Astyanax mexicanus: one gene and its partner. The protein of the gene in region 2 purifies or fractionates together with the protein of the main gene of each other region. This does not show direct contact. Links are inferred from orthologs where the notes say so. Each region holds a gene or a part of one and is shown on either strand. Other genes may lie near its edges.

The links.
Region 1: the proteins of vps33a (region 2) and tgfbrap1 purify together in Homo sapiens (co-immunoprecipitation; 5 studies listed by BioGRID and IntAct, with this or other methods). This does not show direct contact. The link is inferred for Astyanax mexicanus from reciprocal best matches to the Homo sapiens genes VPS33A and TGFBRAP1.

What each region holds. Positions count from the first base shown.
Region 1 is NC_064412.1:43,277,396-43,288,054, forward strand, and holds the start of tgfbrap1 (transforming growth factor-beta receptor-associated protein 1 homolog), read right to left. Parts: upstream 5,425-10,659; 5' UTR 5,344-5,424; coding exon 5,178-5,343; intron 2,094-5,177; coding exon 1,395-2,093; intron 1-1,394. UniProt on the Homo sapiens protein: Plays a role in the TGF-beta/activin signaling pathway. It associates with inactive heteromeric TGF-beta and activin receptor complexes, mainly through the type II receptor, and is released upon activation of signaling.
Region 2 is NC_064429.1:3,075,693-3,086,148, reverse strand, and holds the start of vps33a (vacuolar protein sorting-associated protein 33A), read left to right. Parts: upstream 1-5,494; 5' UTR 5,495-5,547; coding exon 5,548-5,649; intron 5,650-8,958; coding exon 8,959-9,024; intron 9,025-10,456. Other genes in the region: D-amino-acid oxidase, read left to right, coding at 93-197, 1,183-1,265, 1,668-1,785, 2,657-2,755, 3,163-3,273.

The DNA.
Region 1 (10,659 bases), on a different chromosome or scaffold from region 2:
GAGAGGGTGAGAGGGTGAGAGAGAGAGCGAGAGAAAGAGAGAAAGACAGGAAGATGGCACGAGAGAGAGAGAGCAAGAGAGAAGGAGAGAGTGCAAATGCGAAAGAGAGAAGGAGAGAGAGCAAATGTGAAAGAGAGAAGGAGAGAGTGCAAATGTGAAAGAGAGAAGGAGAGAGTGCAAATGCGAAAGAGAGAAGGAGAGAGTGCAAATGCGAAAGAGAGAAGGAGAGAGTGCAAATGCGAAAGAGAGAAGGAGAGAGTGCAAATGAGAAAAGAGAGAAGGAGAGAGTACAAATGCGAAAGAGAGAAGGAGAGAGTACAAATGCGAAAGAGAGAAGGAGAGAGTGCAAATGCGAAAGAGAGAAGGAGAGAGTACAAATGCGAAAGAGAGAAGGAGAGAGTGCAAATGCGAGTGAGCGATAGACTGCATGAGCACCTGAGAGATTTCAGCGATGCGGGTGCTGTTTGGATCATCTGAATGATCTGCAATTCTGTGCACACTCTCTGCTTTTGTGTGACAGGGCACCATTGCTTTTGCCAAGTTTCATGCAAAGAAATATCTGAACGATGTTTCTGTGCTGGTTAGATATGGTAAGTTCTGTTTGATATGATGTGTAAGATGGTCTGCAAATTACTATGAATGTCAGAACACCAGTACCAGCCTACGGGACATTTTCTAACTCTGTGCATTTGAATTTTGCTGTAATTGCTTAATTCCGTGGTTCTGTCCGTGTTTTCTGCATTACAGAAATCATAGGGCCATAATGCAAATATATCATTATTATACAAGTGGCATACAATGATCTTAAAATATTAAAGTTTTGTTATTTGCAGTTTCTGGTTCAACATATTATCCCAAAAAATATGATAGTTATCATGATAGGCCAAATTTGTGTAACTAATATTTTTCACTATTTCAAAATCTACCCATATTCTCCACCCACTGTTTCAGTTACCAGCAGAAATAATGACACAATACAGGATCATGATTATGCAACCACAGCATGCCGTATCACACTGTCTGATTTGAAGACACCTTAATATGTGGACAGGAATCCACCACAATTGGTCCTCAGAGCTGCAGAGAATGACCACTATGAGATACTGGAGCTGTAGATACAGTATAGTATAATAACATTTGCTGAGATAACTTAACTTTAGTGTTTGTTTGTTTGTTTACCAAAAGACTGACTATCTCTGAGCAAATGTAAAAATTTTACATGTGACTAGAGTGGCACTGCCGAGCTAAATTTATGACTGGAATTAACTGCTTAAATTGCACAGCAGTGGCAAATATATTGTCCTATATTCTATAAAATTACATAATCAACAAAATGCTTTCAGTATGCTTCCACATGAGTGACAACTGTTTACTGTTCCTGGTGCTGAACTCACCAAGTCCACCCGGAGCAGCCAGTAGGAACTCCTCCCTGCCGATCCTCTTAACGATGGGCTTCCTCTCCTCACTGTCGTAGGGAAACAGGTCCTGCGAGGCTCCGCTACTGTAGTTGAGGATCATGTACTGCGTGGGCAGTGCCAGGCACAGGAAGTAGCCGTCCACGCTGAGGGCACAGGGCTGCTCAGGCGTGGTCACCTCCTTCAGCATCTGGACCCGATCCTCGTGCACTGTGAAAATCTGGACGGCCCGTCGGCGCGCCGACACCACCGCCATCTCCACACAGAAGGGGTCGGCCGTTACTGGGTTCTCATTGACGCAGAACGCAATCACATTTTTCACCTTGGCTCCACCAAACGGTACAGGCTCCAGAGTGACCATGTCCAACAGAGAGACGGTGCCATCACACAGGATAATGAGACGCTCCAGAGCCGAGGCGGCCTTCAGCTCGGCCACGGGCTTCTTCAGACCCAGAAACTTCTGCAGGAGCTTCTGGCTGCTGTAGGTAAGCCTGCCTTTGGTGGAGCGTTCTTCCAAAAGGAAGTGATGGATAAAGCAGTCGTTGGTGCCCACGTACAAGTGCTGCCCGCAGCATTCTATGCACTCGATGCCGATGCGCACCTTTTCGCCCATCAACTGCTCCCGCTCCACAGCGGGCACCAGCTCAAAGGCCTTCACACTCATGCTGATGTTCACATCTGCTTGGAGAGAGGAGGGAGATATGAATTCAGAGTCAGTTAGGATGCACTGGAGTGAATTTCAATACAGACTTTCTTTAATAAATTTGCAGTATATGTTTACTTAGAATGTTATATACTTGTATGTAAGGATAGGCCTGCTATGGTTAGTTGTTATCAACTTGCTGTACAATACATGCACAAAAACGCAATAATGGGTTAGATTCCAAAAGAATAAGCATTAAAAGGACGAGTAAAAATACTTCAATAAGCTGTATTTTAGCCAATTGCGCTATTCTGTTCTCTTTTATGCTCTGTCAAGGGTGAGGGCGAGTCTACTTGCAACTTTTAATTGGTAAAATAGTCTAGTTTGCACAGAGAGCAAGTTATCAATAGCTTAGCCTCTATATAGACAGAGCCAAATATGTAAAGTAAGTGTTACTTACACAAGGATGATACATGTTTTAAGAAACAGCATGTTCGAAAATATACCGTAAAATTTTCAGGCAGTACATTTTGTCAAAAATCTCCAATGTACTATTACTACACGTTAAATCTACATTATTATATAATCAGCATATTATCAGTACATCTGTATAACAGAGGGAAAAAAACGTTTCAGTCTTCTTAAAGCCATGTGATCTACTATCATTTCAGTCCAATCAAGAAGAAAGTCAACAACAACCTGAGTGGGCTTGTACGTGTTACTGGGACCCGGTTGGGCTTCCCAAATGGGTCAAATCATTTCAGCCCACCTCAATCTCATGTGTAGTGTACAACTCAGACCAGCCCCATGTGTAACCTCCTCCTGCCCTCTTAACTGCCCCTTACAAGCACAGTTGCCAGGTTTGTGGTTTTCCCGCCAAATTAGGCTTGTTTTAAAATCCAGTCAAGTGGAATTTTAGGGGTTAGGGTTAGGGTTTTTTGGGTTTCCATTTAAAAATTACATTGGCCGCCAAAAAAACTAAAAAGTGGGTGTTGCCTTGGATGTTACGTCAACACGGCGGACAAACGTGTACACTAAAATCTTCCAATCTTCCAAGATTGTTTACAAAATAAAGAATCTAGAGAACATAACAACATAAAGGAGGACAGTGTACAAAAGGAGAGCAGGAGAGAGACGGAAAGAGAGAGGGGGAGAAAGAGGGGGAGAAAGAGAGAGAGGGAGGGAGAGAGAGAGAGAGAGATGAAGGAGAGGGGGAGAGATGAAGAAGGAGAGGGGGAGAGAGATGGAGAAGGAGAGGGGGAGAGAGATGGAGAAGGAGAGGGGAGAGAGATGGAGAAGGAGAGGGGGAGAGAGATGGAGAAGGAGAGGGGGAGAGAGATGGAGAAGGAGAGGGGGAGAGAGATGGAGAAGGAGAGGGGAGAGATGGAGAAAGAGAAAGAGAGGGAGAGAGATGAGAGAGGGGAGAGAGATGGAGAAAGATTGGGAGAGAAAGGGGGGGGGAGAAAGGGGGAGAGATGGAGTGGGAGAGAGAGAGGAGGAGAAAGAGAGGAGGAGAAAGAGAGAGAGATGGAGAAAGAGAGGAAGAGAGAGAGAGAGAAACAGATCAAGAGAGATGGGTAGAGAAAGGGGGAGAGAGAGATGCAGAAACGGAGGAAGAGAGAGAGAGAGAGAGAGAGAGAGAGAGAGAGAAAGAGAGAAAGAGAGAAAGAGAGAGAGAGAGAGAGAGAGAGAGAGAGAGAGAGAGAGAGAGAGAGAGGAGAAACCACAAATCACCAGGCGATAAAAAAAAAACTGTTAAACAGGAGAGAAGAGAGTTCAGGAGAGTTAAACAGCAATACTGATAATAAACCCCTTATAAACAAAATACTAAGGGGTACACTCAGTTGTTTTGCCATTCGCTTCAAATGTGTGACAGATATATATTTTGGGCTAGCTTAAGCTTATGAAGGGCAGGTTTTAGACTGACTTTGGGCTGGATATTTTTTGTTGGAACTGGCAACCCTGCTTACAGGCATCCATATGTGGGGTCAACATGAAAGCTGTTAACATAAAATGTACTGCTTCCCAGTTGGGCTACCCATACACAACCCGTATGGGGACACATTACCTGTAAAGGCTTCTTCACACCTAACGATCCTAAATGAGTCTCTGTAGTAAACACTCCCTGACAGCTCTGACAACTGAATGACAGTAAGGCTAACTGTGTGAAGCTGCTAGTCAGCATGCTAACAGAGAGCTAGCCTGCTGGCTGTGCTGATTAGCTAACTAGCATGAGACCAGAGCAGCTAGATAATTACAATATTAAAACAATAATGTAGCTGGCTAACAGTGTGGCCATGGTCGAACCCTCATCTTTAATAAAACACCACGGAAACCAGGGCCAACAGCTTTACACTGGCACCACAACACCAAAGAAAAGCTAGCGTGCTAACTGTTAGCCACAGCTAGCGGAGTTCAGCAGCGCAGTTCAGTGAATCGCAGTGTTCTGACGAATTGTGCAACCTTGCCAAAACGTGCTACCACAGGGTATCCTATAATAATAATAATAATAATAATAATAATAAGCCAAGGACACTATAAATAAATAAAATATTGTACGTAAATAAAATACTAAGATATAAAAGTATGTGTACTATCATAAATATATACATTTACGTAAAGTCAGGTAAATTTACAGATAAAAAGAAAAATAGGTAACCCTAGCTGAGCCTTAAAAAATATTTTGGTCAGGCTAAATTATATAAGGTTGATCATATAAGATAATACAAACAGTAGTAGCTATATCAATTATAGCTAATACCTGTACCTAGCTATGTTATCTTCTGGCTATCTGGATGGCCTAGACATGGATAAATCACTGTATGAAGCTGAATGCTTGCTAGATAAATACGAGATAATTGAGATCAAGAACTATTTTATTTTTTAAATTTATTTATTAATCATTAACACTTAAGCCAATTATATAATGCCAGTAAGTCAAAATTATGCTGAAAATAAAGTGACACGAAACAGAGGAAAACAAATGGGGAACAATTCAAACTCGCACATATCGCTGGGTAGCACAACTCGATAGAACACCTGCTAGCGGTGGAACTTTAATAAGCGGTGTTTTAACACCGAGATTTCTGCTGAGAGCCACAGTGAATAAAGCTCCGTACCCCAGCCGGTAGCGCCGCGGTTCTGTCCGGGGAGGCTGCTCTGCTGCTGGGCCTCCCTGTTCTCCCGTCCCCGCTGCTCTCCGCTCCGCTCCGGCTTTCCCCGCCCTGCTGTTGCTGCCGTAGAACCGGACCGGACCGCCGCTTCCTGCGGACTACATCCGCTCATGTGATAAAGTTCCGTTTAGAGGGCTGTTATTAAATACTTTAATGTGCCGACAGCCTGACTGTCATTCAGTTCACACATTTATCCCACACAGCCCGTTTTTACTCTGTTCTAACACATTATTTAACCATTCTTTGTTTTAGGGTAATACCTGATTTTGACCTAATGTCAATAAAACTTCATTACCCAGCGGCACCCCCTCGGAACTTTCTCTACGGAATCCCTAAAGGGACAAGGCGTTTATACAACCGTAGTAGTAGTAAAGTTTTTATTGGATCTACGTTTGTCCCTGATAACTAGTATCTAGTTATTTATTATATGATCCCTAACGCTGTATAAAAGTATCTAGTTATATTTAAGAGATAAAAGCAGACCGTACACTGAAACAGCACAGAAATAACAAATTTATTCACATTATTTGTGCTGATTTCTACACTGCAAGAACGCAATACGAGCTGTAGTTATAGAAAAGAAACAAGATATACATGTTTAATGTAAGTGATGTTTAATACACACAATACATATACAATCATAACCTTAAATCAATGTAAAACCAATTTGCACAAATAAATCAGTTCTGATGTCGGAGATCAACGTTTCAATGCATTAACAGATGGAACAATGATCATTATTCAATATACCGTAATAAGTACATTATTACACTGTCAGATGTATTAAAATGGTAAAAAAGTATATATATATATATATATATATATATATATATATATATATATATATATATATACAGATGTAAACATACAATTAAATATCCGTTGTTTAAAAAAAATGGAAATGTATGAAACCAGATCTATCTGATGTACTTTCGCACAAATTACTTCTACTCAAAAAATATTTTTTTACTAAAAATATATTTCACAAGCTAAACTGTTTTACAATATATAAAGCTAATATAAAAATAGATTTAAAGGTACAAATACACAGTAAACATGCAGATAATTTAGCATATGAGTGATGTAGTGACAGTATAGAAATATATTTGTTATGTACAATAGCTTGTACGTTTACAGTGTGTACAGGAATAAAACTGAAAATAAGCAACATGATTTACCACACACACATTTTCTGGGGAGTGGCTTTTAGATTTTCACTATAAAAATGCAATTATAAATATACACCACATGAGGGAGCCAGATACCCTTTTTATTACCTCAGTCCTGTATTTATTAATACTTACTCTTATTTAGTGATCACCCCGCATGTTTAGATCTAATACCATATATTTCAATACAGTGTTTGAAATACACTGTAAATATATATCCATAATGACCCTAATAGTATGCATAGTACTATAAGCAATGTCTTAAAGGTCTCATTCCATCAATGTTGTGGTCTCTAGTATGAATGAATGCTCAGGTGTTTCTATTTAGCCCTGTTTAGTTTACTAAATTAGAGGCTTGTGCTCATAAATATTCATACATGCAAATATATCGCCTTTGATTGGCTAACGGTACTGGAGCAGAGAACGTCCACCTGCCTTCCCCTTTTTTACAGCTCTAAAACTCAAAGGAGGAAATGTTTTCAGAGATACAGCCTTAGATGTAAAGATGCAGCACTGAGTGCTAGATAAAGTTAACCCTTAAACTTCACTTAACATCAGACTGAGGAAAGCACATCTTCCACCTCCCATCCTCACCATGTTCTACAGAGGGACTGTAAAAAAGCATCCTAAACACCTGCATGGGAACTGCAACACTTCAGACCGCAAGACCCTACAACGGATAGTGAGGACAGCCGAGAAGAGTCTCTCTTCCCTCAATCACCGAGATCTACACCACACGCCGCATCCGCAAAGCCACCAGCATTGTGGACAACCCCTCCCATCCCTCACACGGACTCTTCGCTCTGATGCCGTCCAGCAGAAGATACAGGAGCACCCGAGCCTCCACTACTAGACTCTGCAACAGCTTCATCCATCAGGCAGTCAGACTCCTCAACACACAGAGGCACAGCTGAACCCCACCCCACCCATCACACACACACAACACACTCACACAGAACTGAACTGAACCCCCACCATTCTTCAGACACACCCACAGAGAACTGAACTGAACCCCCCCCCCCCCACCATTCTTCACACACACACAGAACTGACCCCCCTCACCATTCTTCACACGCGCTCACACAGATCTGAACTGAACCCCACCCCCACTCTTCACACACACATACACACACAGAACTGAACTGAACCCCACCACCACTCTTCACACACACACACACACACACTCTCTCTCTCAGCACACAGAGACTGAAATGAGCCTAAATTAGCTCAAAGGGAATAGTGAGATAGAGGAGGAAAAGTAATTAGTTAGTTAAAGGATGTTAAGAGAGTAAGTGCTCTTTGAAGAGCTCTGTCTTCAGGAGTTTATTAAAGATAGTGAGAGATTCTCCTGATCTGGTAGTAGAAGGTAGTTAGTTAGAGGTGTTAGGAGAGTAAGTGCTCTTTGAAGAGCTCTGTCTTCAGGAGTTTATTAAAGATAGTGAGAGATTCTCCTGATCTGGTAGTAGAAGGTAGTTAGTTAGAGGTGTTAGGGGAGTAAGTGCTCTTTGAAGAGCTCTGTCTTCTTAAGTTTCTTTAACAGCACCTTCCAGCATTTTATTCTGACTAGAAATGTATCTTCTGTTGTATTTATTGTAGTGTTACAGTTTTATGTTGCACTATTTTTACACTTTTGCATCTTATTGCACTATTTTATTGTTGTTCTATGTTACACCGTGGTTCTTGAGGATCGTAATTTTGTTTTTCTTTTCGCATTTGTGTTCCATACATTCTTGAAACAGCTGTTCACTGAACATGATATGTTTGATACATCTGAACCTGAATCAAAAAGACACTGAGTTCAGATTTGGCAAAACTCGAGACAAGACAAGTCTGATCACTGATCCTGATAGGGCAATCACTGACATCCATACGTGAAACCCATGGACAAAAGCTTTTGGGTCTCAATTGGTCGGATCATACAGGCCCCACATGTGAACGTTATTTAGGTACACACTACACATTTCTGCTTGATGCCAAGGATTGAATCTAGCCAAACTCTTATTTAAGAAATGATTATCAGTCTTTAACAACATCATACTCCACAGAATCATGGCTCTTGACTGTTTAATTTCCTCTGTAGTGTTCTGGTAGCAGTGGTGGTGCTATCCCCTGACTGGCAGACAATCAATCAAGATTCTTCCCTTTTCTCAGGCCGTGACTCTCTGAGCTCCACCTGAGGCTCCATGGCTGTGTCCTCTTCTGTGTTTAAGATGAATGATGAGCAGCTAATCTGTGGTGGGTGATGGAGAAGAGCTGACTTCCGAAACTTCCATTAGTCTGGCCGGACAGAGGACATGAGATCCTGAGGGTCCAACATCCGGGAGAGAGATGGAATTAGTTTTAACTGAATTTATGGAGAACAGAAAATATGAAACATTATCATATTTGGCTAGTGTGGCTAATGACTCTGGCAGATCTGAATGAAACAGCCTAACTAAAGGTAGAGAGCCAGAAGTAAACATAGACACGAAGGCAGCCTGAAACACCAGCATTCACCCACTCCACCGTCCACAAACCTGAGTGAGCGTGTGCAGTGGGAGAACAGCAGCACCAGCCCAGTTTACCACAATTCCCTCTGTCCATGAACCCCTGGATCTGCAGCCTTATCCAAAGGGAAAAAACATTAATAACATTAATTAAAAGATAAGCTAAACAAGTAAGTTTTTAGTCTAGACATAAAGATTGAGACTGTGTCTGAGTCCCGAACATATTCGGGGAGATTATTCCAGAGTTAGGGAGCTTTATAAGAGAAAGCTCTTCCTCCTGCAGAGCGTCTCTGAATTTTAGGAACTACTAAGAAACCAGCACCCTGAGATCTATGTCATCATGGTGGTTCATAATAGGAGATGAGGTCTCGCAAATACTCAGAAGTGATCCTGTGTAGGGCTTTATACTTTAGAACCTGAGTGCATCTGAATTTGTATGATGATCTCTGTCATTACTGACTTTAGAGCATTCTATTTTAATGTTGTCTACTTCAGTAGTACAGTACTTTAGTAATGCTGTGTCTTAGGGTTGCAACGGTATGAGATTTTCACGGTATGATAACCGTCTCAGAAAATACCGCGGTATCACGGTTATCACGGTATCACAGTTTGTTACATATATTATTAAACTGACCCTTAAAGAAATTACAACAAAGGTTTTTTGTTCAATTAACTATTTATTGTAGAAACCTGGAACAACTATATAGATAATGTCTCCTTAAAAAAAATAAACTGTACACCATTAGGTGAAGGAAACCAGGTTTTTCCACTACTCTTAAGGACATTAAGGGTGTATATAAAAAAATATATATATATATATATATATATATATATATATACATACACACACACACATACACACACACACACACGTGTCACACATTACATGTGCTCTAAAAAGTAAAGATCCTGTATTTAAAATATTCAGTACAATTATTTAAGTTTAAATTATTTAATATCTGATAAACTGAGCCTGGGTCAGTGTCTGATCAACAACTGTTGTAAACGTCCATTTTACTGCCAAGTTGGTATATAACCAGATGCTGCAGAAAGAGGGGATTTATTTCTGACATGATCCTCACAATAGAGATTTCTATTTTAAGGCTTTCACAGCGAGTCTGGTTTTAACATATGAAAAACAGGCACGTCAGAATTTAAAAATGAACGCATGTAAATGAATGGCGTCTTTCACATCCAGTCCGGCCAGGACCTTTACACGGACACGTGAATCCATCGTAGCACGCACTTCACGCCTGTACCTGCGTGCCCAAATTTCGGATAACTCAGCGCTTTTGCGGGCGCTTACCGCATGGGTTGTGCACGACTACAAAGAGGTTTTATTTAGGTTCAGATTAAAATTATAAACTAAACACATACTTTGCGCTGCACAGCGGGGTGGTGTTCTCGGAGATGGGAGAACAGGTTTGACGGATGTCCACCTTTAGCTGTGACTTTACGGCCACATTGATTACAAATCGGATAACCATCCTCGGGTGCTCTCGGCGGGTATCTGAAATAGTCCCACACTGCTGATTTTAGTTTAGCCTTTTTTTAGGCGGACGGAGATTTGTTTAGTCTGATGCATGTTCTGCCGTTCTCACCGCTGTGTGCTGAGAAGCTGAAGCGGAGCAGAGTTGCGCATGCGCGGGTGAGTTTCTCCGCTGGCTTGCCTTTTACCGGTAATAAGCAAACACACACGGTATGATAACCGTGCATTTTAATACCATGGTATACCGTGAAACCGGTTACCGCTGCAACCCTACTGTGTCTTAT
Region 2 (10,456 bases):
ATATTTAATACTGTGTGTAAAACATCAGTAGATCATAGCAGAATTGTAATCAGCATGTCTCCGGTTTGTGTTTCTCTCTTTGTGCTGAGTAGCTGGCAGACGGTGGTGCAGACGTGATCATTAACTGCACCGGCGTTCGATCAGGTGACCTTCAGGCGGACCCTGAGCTCACACCAGGCCGAGGCCAAATTATTAAGGTCAGAATAAAAACTGAAAGAATGCTGTTTAGCAAATATTGTCATAAATCAATCAAGGAAACAATATTATGGCCACCATCTTGTTTCTACAGTCTCTGTCCAATTCATCAGATTCACTGTATCTGTTTCTCTGTAAACTTTATTTTTCTCCTCCATTCACCCTGTTCTTCAATACTCAGAACCTACAGGAGAGAAAACCACCACAGAGCAGATATTATTTGGTGGTTTGTGGGTTTTTCTCAGCACTGCAGTTACACTGCCGTGGTAGTGTGTGTTAATTAGATGCAGCAGTGCTGCTGGAGTGTTTAAACACCTCAGTGTTACTACTAGCTAACCAACCAGAAATATCCAGCCAACAACATTCTGTAGGCACCTTTCTAAGGGCAGCATCCTGTAGGCAGTATTCTGTGGGCAGCGTCCTGTGGGCAGCGTCCTGTGGGCAGCGTCCTGTGGGCAGAGTCCTGTGGGCAGCGTCCTGTAGGCAGCGTCCTGTGGGCAGCGTCCTGTGGGCAGAGTCCTGTGGGCTACAGGGTGTTTCAGCTGTAGGTAGGAGTGTGTAATAGAGTGGAGGTGAGTGATGATTAAACACAGTTATTAAAAACTCCAGCAGCACTGCTGTATCTGGTCTATTTAAGAGAGACAAAACTTACATTTAAACTATATGTGATACTAATATGAGTGAATAAAGCTTAAATAGCTTATAAACCTATATATAAATACACAATAACCCCATTGTAAAAACAATATTTTAAAAATGACTGCTGTAGAGTCAAATCAGTGGCTATGATAATCGTCTGAAAGTGACAGAATTTTTGTTACAACCTTGTCGTTACTTGTTACTGTAGCTGCTTTAGTTTTAATTTTTAATAGTTTAATGCAAAGTTTGCATTTTTTATTTGTTTTGAACAAATCATCACCCTGAATCCTAAACTCACTGGCAATAATAATTTTTTTTTATTAACACTTGTCTTTTTTCACCTGCTAGGTAGATGCTCCTTGGATAAAGCACTGGATTCTTACACACAATTTTACAACAGGAGTTTATAATTCTCCTTATATCATCCCTGGGTAAGTTACTTCACCTGCGCAATGGGTAAACAGGGACCACCATTTCAGTCAGGTTGATCACAATAAATATATATAACTTTATTTACTACCAGCAAAACAAAATACAGCTTAAGGCCAAATGACAAGTTTGGTCAATTACCCAGAGAGGAACTTGAACCAAAGACCCCAGCACTGATAGGTGAATGTGTTAACCACCAACCCCCTGTGCAGACTGTTTAGATTCTACTGTACAGTCTGCAGTGTGAAATGTGTGTGAGCTTAAATTCAAAAGTAGCAAAATGCAATAAAGAGTGAAAGAATTTAAACAGATTTCATATGGTCCTACACTTATATCTTTAAGCTACTTTTAAGACACCAGAAGCTGTAGATTAAAGAGGATTTAACTGTGAACTTCATCTTCAGGAGTCGTTCGGTGACTGTGGGTGGAATTTTCCAGCGGGGAAACTGGAGTGAGCTGAACAGCTCCATCGACCACAAGAAAGTGTGGGATGAAGCCTGTGAACTGGAGCCCAGTCTAAAGGTACAGAGATTACAGTAGAGATTTTTTATTTATACTGGGCTGATTGTCTGATAGGATGATAGGAATGTGGGCGGGGTCTTCTTCAGTTTTGAGTAGCATGTCCACTGCCAGTGTAGTGTAAAGTGTATTTATTGTGAAATTACTTTAATATAATATGTTTATTTTTCTTGCCAGTCCATAGAGCTCATACAACAGTTGGACACATCATTAACAGCATCTGCCAGATATTCAGTATTTCCCCCTTGTGCCACAACAGCAGATCTAACCGTTTGACCTGTGGTGAAGGTGTTGTGTGGTATTTGACTGAGATTTTTAAGTCCTGTACGTTGGGAGGTGGGCGGGGAACATCCCACTAGTTTTTTGGAGATGTTCTGACCGAGTAACCTGTTTCGCTGTGCTCCCCCTCTTTTTTATTGTTCAAAATATTTCACAACCCAAACTGTGTATTCACAGATGTGTTTAAGTCAAACACTTGAGTAGAATGGAAAATTAGTTGGTCTGATCCAGTAAAAGACGACTCTGAATAATGTCTGTGTCTGTCAGATGCATTCTGGGATGGAGTTTATTCATTGGCTGTATGCATAAAGGATTGGTTTTGGACTACAGGATCCAGGTGTGATATATCAGATGTGAGTCTGAATAAGTGACATGGGCAGATGCATTCTGAAGTGGAGTTTTTTCGCTGACCATCCAGAGTCCAGACCTCAACATTGTTGAATTTAGTGTATGGTGTTCTTACTGATGGTTTAGTCTGGAGATTAAATGAACAGAGGATGGTCCTGAATGTTTATGCAGTACTGTACAGTACATGCATGTGCTGGAACTTACCAACATCCACTTCTTTACATCAGTGTGTCCTGTCTCTCCTCAGCATGCTCAGATCATACAGGACTGGACTGGTCTCAGACCAGTACGCAGTAAAGTGAGGCTGGAGAGGGAGAAGATAAAGTCTGGACTGAACACGTTTGAGGTGAGTTCTCAGAGATTTTTGTTTCTGCTCCTAACTCAGGAATAATACTGCGTTAAATACCTGTCAGTTTAAAGAAATGTCATTTTGGACAGAAGCCTTTCTATTGGTTCATTAACAAAGTAAAAAGTACAATCTGAAGTGTTTAAATAATGTAGGAAATGTAGGATCTTTTCTTTATTATTTTCCTTTTTTATCGGACAGTAACAAAATCTATGGTCACCTAATATGAAGTAGTTCATTATATAAAAAAAGTTCAGTGTAACATATAAATGTGAAAGGATACAGAGCATGGACTGTTTATATACAGTATATCTTTTCTGGCAGTTTTACAGGAGTTTCTAATGCAGAAGTTTCAGAAATTTATCTTCAACTGCATCTTTCACTTTTCCTGTGCTGTTTTCCATTAGGTCATCCATAACTACGGTCATGGAGGCTTCGGCCTGACGATCCATCGAGGCTGTGCTGAGGAAGCTGCTCGACTTTTTGGAGAAACCCTCCAGCAGAAATCTAGACTATGATCCTGAAGATTCCAATCATTTGTCTGAATCTAGGGTGCAGTTCTTTGTCCACAGTTTTAGACGTGATGTGAGAGTTCACACCTAAACCTCATCGAAATTAGACGAGGCTAATATGACAGTATGATTTCTGTCATTCTAAATTGTGTTAGAATACTAATACAGTATTCTTTTCTGAGTATATTACAGATATGTTATCAGTGCTTAAAGAACTGTGACCAGCAGCACATTTCATTACAGAGAGTATAATTAGTCCTGATGAATTAGATGAATTAGCACTGTAAATCACTATAACGGGCATGGGCGAGTTTTGGAATAGCATTTTAAGGATCTCTTTCTACTGCTGCATTTAAAAAATGTCAAAATACCATGATGCATATTGTGATTAATAAATATGTCATCATATTCTCATCATATTGCCTATCTGGACTCAAAATAGATAGATCTGATGCCTAGTTTTTGGTCTAAAACATACTTTTAACATTCATATAAGGTATATATATAACTTTTACGTTTTTCTTTTATATTCTTCACTATTTTTCCGCATATGAGTAGAATTGTAAATAAAATCTCTGTAGACATATCTTGACATGGTGACCCATCCACTGAATAAGGTAGAAATAAAAATTAGAAATATCATATAAAAATCATTGACATTCATTTTTTTTGTGCTTAATCATAACACTCTTGTGCTTGAACTATGACTTACATTATAGTGATGTAAAAAATAATAATTAAACATCTGTTAAATTAAACATACCACAAAAAAGATAGAATGTTTGTGTCTTTGTAACTTACACAATCAGCATGGGATCAAATAATTATTACTTGATTATGATAACGCAATAAACAAAAATGATAAAGAAAAATGAAAAAAGACTTATTTTTTAGTTTTTCATTTTATTTTTTCTTCTTCTTTCTTTTTTGAAACATAATTTATTGTAGATACAGATTTTAATCCAGTGTGGTGAAGGATATCTGTGCACACAGACACTAAACTCATGTAGGAGATAAGGCAGCTCTCTATCCCAGCACACAGAACTAGACCACATTAGAGGAAACTTACACTGTGATATAAATATCTGACAGTTGAGTTTTGTCAGGGTTTAAATCAGTTAGTGGTGCTCCTGACCGGGTCGAAGCTGAAAGTCTGAACCGGAGTTTCACTGCTGGACACCTTAAGGGACAAAACTAAAATGTGTATTTTAACTTTATTATTATGCATTTATTATGCAAAAAATATGTTTAAAGCATAAGAATTATATATAAGAGATAACTTTAAAATGATGAGTTTCTTCGATTTTACCAAACTGAAAACCTCTGGAATAGGATGGAGGATTACAAGTCATCAAACCAAGCTGAACTGCTTGAATTTATGCACCAAGAGTGGCATGAGTTTATCCAAAAGCAGTGTGTAAGAATGGTGGAGGAGAACATGCCAAGATGCATATAAACTGTGATTAAAAACCAGGATTATTCCACCAAATATTGATTTCTGAACTTTGTGGTCTGAAAGCTCTGCTTCTTTTTTGTTATTTCAGCCATTTCTCATTTTCTGCAAATAAATGCTCTAAATGACAATTTAGAGGGAGAAATGTTTTCTGTAGTTTATAGAATAAAACTACAATGTTTATTTTACTTAAATATATATCTATAAATAGTAAAAAATCAGAGAAACTGATTCAGAAACTTTTTCTAGAGCTGTATATGTAAATCTGCGGCTTTGCAGACAGACCCCTCACCTATTAATTTAGGAGTGACTCGCGCGCTCCCTCTCGCGGTGCGCGCTTATTACAGCATTGTGATTCTAGCAACACTTGGCAGGTGTCCAAAACGATTTCCTGTCAAAATAAAAGTTCCCTTAAATGTAATAAAAATCAGTTTTGAGGCTGTAAATGAAATAATATGAACTAGTTTAATAATATGTACAGTTTAAAACTGATTGAAAGCTTTTCGAAACATATAAAAACGTTTAAATAACGTAGATAAAAAGTAAAAAAAAAGTAAGAAATTGTACTAAAACTAGTGTTGCTGGGTAATACAGTTTTGCGCTGCGACTTTATTAATATATTGTGACGCAGGACACATAACTCATAATAAAGTAACATAATAAAGAAAAATATATTTCTTTTAGCTACTGACAGCATGTTTTATACTGGGCGAATAGTAAAAAATCTCTAGATTTCAGAGGTTTGACTGTCCTAAACCTGAAGCCGCTCTGCCCACGTGACTCTCCCGCATCACATGATGAGTGTGGCGCTGCTGTGAGGAGGAGACATGGCCGCGCACTTGTCTTACGGCAGAGTGAATCTGAACATTTTGAGGGAAGCAGCGCGGAAGGAGCTGCGGGAGTTTCTGGATAAGTGCGCGGGGAGTAAGGTACAGTCCGGGGCGGTGGGTACGGGCTTACAGAGCGGTGTTTACTAACGTTAACTAACCATCACAGCTCCCATCAGATCACCAGCCCACCGTGTAGCTACTGTTTAATATCATAAAATAACACATATATACACTGATTCACAGCTGTCATATATAGATATAGATATATATATATATATATATATATCATTATCTTTATTTATATATAGCAGGAGTTATTCACATACGCGTGTTTAATATGAAACAGTGTTAATCCTGGATACTACACTGCTGTTTAATCATGTACTCAGTACACTGAGGAAGGGCTTTACTCTGTTTTCATTTCACATCCGCCTATTTTACCATATTAAAGGAGAAATCCAGCACGACATGGACTTCAGTTGTAGTGAAACACAATAACTAGTACGAACTGTTCTCAAATAATCCCCCTCCGTTCTCCCCCAGCATTTCCAACTACCAAACACAGCACTTTTAGCCGATGCTCCCAACAGGTTTACCGTGGTAGTGATTGGGGCATAGCATTACTCATGCAGAGAAATCACTATCTTTACACCATTAACAAACTCAAAGTAGCTCCACACTTCATTGGTAGAACTGTGAGGGCCCTGACATTTAAAACAAGGCACTGAGGCCCTGTCCACATCAATCTGGATATTTTTAAAAAGCAAGGTTTTTTTATATCCCCATCCACTAGGGGCGGTTTATATGGCCCTAAAATAATATCATGATATTTCATGGTATTTTCAAATTAACAGTACTCTTGCCAATACGACAAAACACTGAATTAAAAAAATATATCTTTTTCAAGAATACATTTTAATTTTTATATTTGCATATTATATATCACACCCCTAATTGAGGGATTTAAAAATACAGTAATTTTATCAGCTTTGTAACAGAAGACAATGATCCAGAATGTTATGATACTAATAATGCACTCCATATATCTCCATATATCCAGGATTAAAGTAAGATGAAATGAATCTGGACAGATATAATTAAAAAACAGTGTGAATTTTTATTTTGCTAAAAATTGCAAAAAAGTAGTACCCAGGGGTGGGTGATCTGGCACGATATTTCAGGGTATAATATTGGTTACGATATTCAAAAATGTTGGCAATATTATTGCGTATGATAAGATATGGCACACCCCTACTGTCCACACGGAAAGGTCATACTACTAAATACTGAAAGAAACTTCCACAGGCGATTTCCAACAGTTGTTTCCCCTTCGATGCAAGGTCGAAGCATTTTACTCAAAGACACAAGAGATTCTCTAGACATTCAAGGTTTTCTCGTCACTCCTCAGAAACAACTATTTCATTTTCAAAATATTCCCACCAGGTGCTTGTTGGTCCAGGCCTGGTCCAAAATCTCCCTTCGCTGTAAAGTTTGTATCTCTGGACTGGAGTATTGAGAGAAAAAACTGCATGCAGCTCATTTTGGTGCCTCTACTGTGTTTGGTAAAGTGAGAGTAACCTAAAATGAAGCTGTGAACATGTTAATCCACCAATTGCAGAGAGAATTTCAGCATTTTCAGAGGTTTAAAAGTGCCCAGGGAGTTTAGTAAAGACACTGTTTATAGACAATTATGATATCAAACTCAAAATTTAGATTCGAATTGAATCAGTTCGTTTTAATCACAGAGCTTGTTTAGTACCCTGCTTTAAAATCTGCCTCAAAACAAAAAAAAAACCTTTTTGTGCATTTTAGTACACACCTAAGAAACTGCAAGCAGCTGATCTGAGATCAGAATATTTTGTACACAAATATTTATAAATGAGTGTGGAAAAGTCTGATCTGTGGTCTCAACTGAGTTTGCTGTGAATGTGACGCACAACATTGCCACGCTTAAAAAAGATGCAAAGCATTATAACTTTTTTGTGGAGAAAAATCACACACATTACACAGCTTTATTATATATTGCTCTTAATTTGTCAAACAATTAGCATTTATAAAACAGAAAAACCTAAAAAAGACATTGATCTGCTGTTTAAGATTAGTTTGATCTACACTTCCTGGCCCAAAAAAAAAGTCATCACCAAAAAAAAAGGTCACACATTAATATTTGGTTGGATGGACCACGTTTAGCTTTGATATCAATAAGCTTCTGCAGTGTCACAAGCTTTATTTCAATGCTGATCTCTCACCGGCTCTCTGTCTGAGGTAAAGACGAATCTGTCAGACATCTGTTAGGAAACAAGTGTAGTGCACACAGAGCCTGAACATCAGTGACGATGCCACCCCACACACACACACACACACACACAGAGAAGACAGAGTGTGTGGAGATGTGTTGGCTGGTGAACGTATTCTAAAGAAAGGCTAATAGGACTTTCTCAAATCTAAACGCCTTTAGAGAAGGTTTAGAAGGTTTAGAGAAGTTCAGTCCGGATAGACTTTGTTTTAAAGTTTCAAGGCTCTGATGTGAGAGTATTTTGCTTTAAGCCAAATGAGCGATAAGACCATCAGCGTGAATGAGCCGGTATGTCGTCTTTGTTTTAAAGCAGTGGAAACAAAGCTAAAATTTAATTTAAAGCACAAAAATCCAGCCCAATTTTCCAAGCTGAATATTATATATATATATATTGTTCCTCCAGAGAGATCCTGCCTCAAGCCCCACAGTAAACGTTTTGGTGTTCCTGCTCGGATTTTGTCTGACAGTTACATTAAAAAATACATTTGTAGCAAGAGCTCTGGACTGCTGGGCATCTGTGTCTTTGATCATATAATGTATTAATGTATTAATGTAAATGTTACTAATCTATTTTTTGTTACTAGTAATTTTATAATGGGAGCTCAATGTCTGCTCTTAATAATACAATGTTAGTTTAACTGTAAAATGGTTTAATAGTATTATGCTAGTATATTATTACTGTGGCACATTGTCTTAAAGCACCTTTGGGAGCGGAGAAGCAGGGAAAAATTATTTTCTATAGTGGCACTTTAAAATGACTATTATCGTTTATCTCAATAATTTCTGGGATAATATATCGTCCTGAAAGTTTTGTTATTGTGACAGGCCTAGCTGAACCTAGACCTGACCAAGTTTATACTGGTTATCATGTTTCACTACAACACAAGTCTGTTTCACTCCAGATTTCTCCTTTAACACTATTTTAAAGACCATGCTCCTGTACCTGCTGCAAAGGGAAGACTGTTGTGTTGTAAAAGACTGTAAATCTTGTGTAAAGTCTGGGAAAGATGCTTTTAAGAGAATGGACACCATTAACATCCTGCTTAATGATTTGATGAATTGATGTTTTATAAATAAGCTATTTAATCATTTTTTTCTTCTGTTTGTTTTAGGCTATCGTCTGGGACGAGTACCTTACTGGACCATTCGGTTTGATAGCTCAGTATTCCTTGTTAAAGGTGAGTATTCATTTTAACCATCTTAAAATGTGTGGGGAAAAAAATTGGACATCCCAAACTGCAATAAAATGTTTTCAGGGAGGTAACACCTGGCCTGCATGTTATAGATATCTTAAGATATATAGTTTGCAGCACAGTGGGAAATTAAAACACATCTCAGTTGCATGTTTCGTGAATTTTACAAAAGGTCACTGTTTAAAAAAATATTTTATTTTATTTAAATTTTCTTTATATGTATATTTTGTGTAACCGGGTAAACATGTCTTCTTTTCACCACTTCACCACGGAGTGCTGGTTGAGTTCAAGATGTGATTAGTTGGTGTGACAAAGCATGATTGCTAAGTTAAAAAAAATTAGATTACTTTTTATAATATAATACACCACATGTTGTGAACTTGGATGAATGATGACCCTTCCACATGAGTTTAAGAGTGTTTTGGCAAATTAGATTCTTCAAAGAACTGTTAATTCAAGTAAACCTTGAAAAAGATGTGCTATAGAAATGCAGTGTATAAATTTTAAGATGCACTATACACCACTTCTGAATGTCTGAAAGAAGCTGTGTTCTGTTACTATCATTGATCCCAGAGGGAAATTCTGGACATCCAGCAGCAGGTATACATAGTACACAAAAGTTACAAAGAAGGTTAAGATACAGTGATAAATATAAAAATCCAATAAAATATAAAGTATAAAAGTACAGTCTTTAGTGTCTGTGTAATGAAGTTAGTGCTTTTGAACATAGTAGACTATGAACACAAGTTGATGTGCATATTGTGAGGATAACTGATGACAGACATACAGAAAGTGCAAATACACAGTTTACAATAATTATTTAAATTAAGCAGTGCAAACTTGTAGATATGTAAACAGTGGACAGTAAATAAACTAGTAGTGCAGAATAGAAAACTATAAAAATAATGTACATAAGGCATCTTTGAGAGTGCCTCCCCAACACACTACAGCGTAGAAGAGGACACTGGCTACCACAGACTGTTAAAACATCAGCAGGAGTTTCTGCCAGATGTTGAAAGACCCGAGCCTTCTGAGGAAGTACAGTCTGCTCTGTGCCTTCCTGTAGAGCACATGTGTCAAACACAAGGCCCGCGGGCCAAATGTGGCCCGCCACGTCTTTTTATGTGGCCCGCGAGAGCTTGTAAAATCTTAGTGTCTATAATAAATAGGTCAGAAGCGTTCTTTGACCAAAAAATACATTTCCCACAATGCTTGTCGATTGTATTACCCGCAAAGTTACGGCTTACTGCCACTACACGGCAGTGTAGTCATTGATGTGGAAACCCTGCCGGAGGGAAGGTGTAACTTCGCGGGTGGAATTGAGACATGTTTATCCCATAATATCCAGAAAAAGACAAGTTGATGCAGACGGACGGCTGTGCTTCAAGGCGAAAGACCGGTATGCATTTTGTGTTAC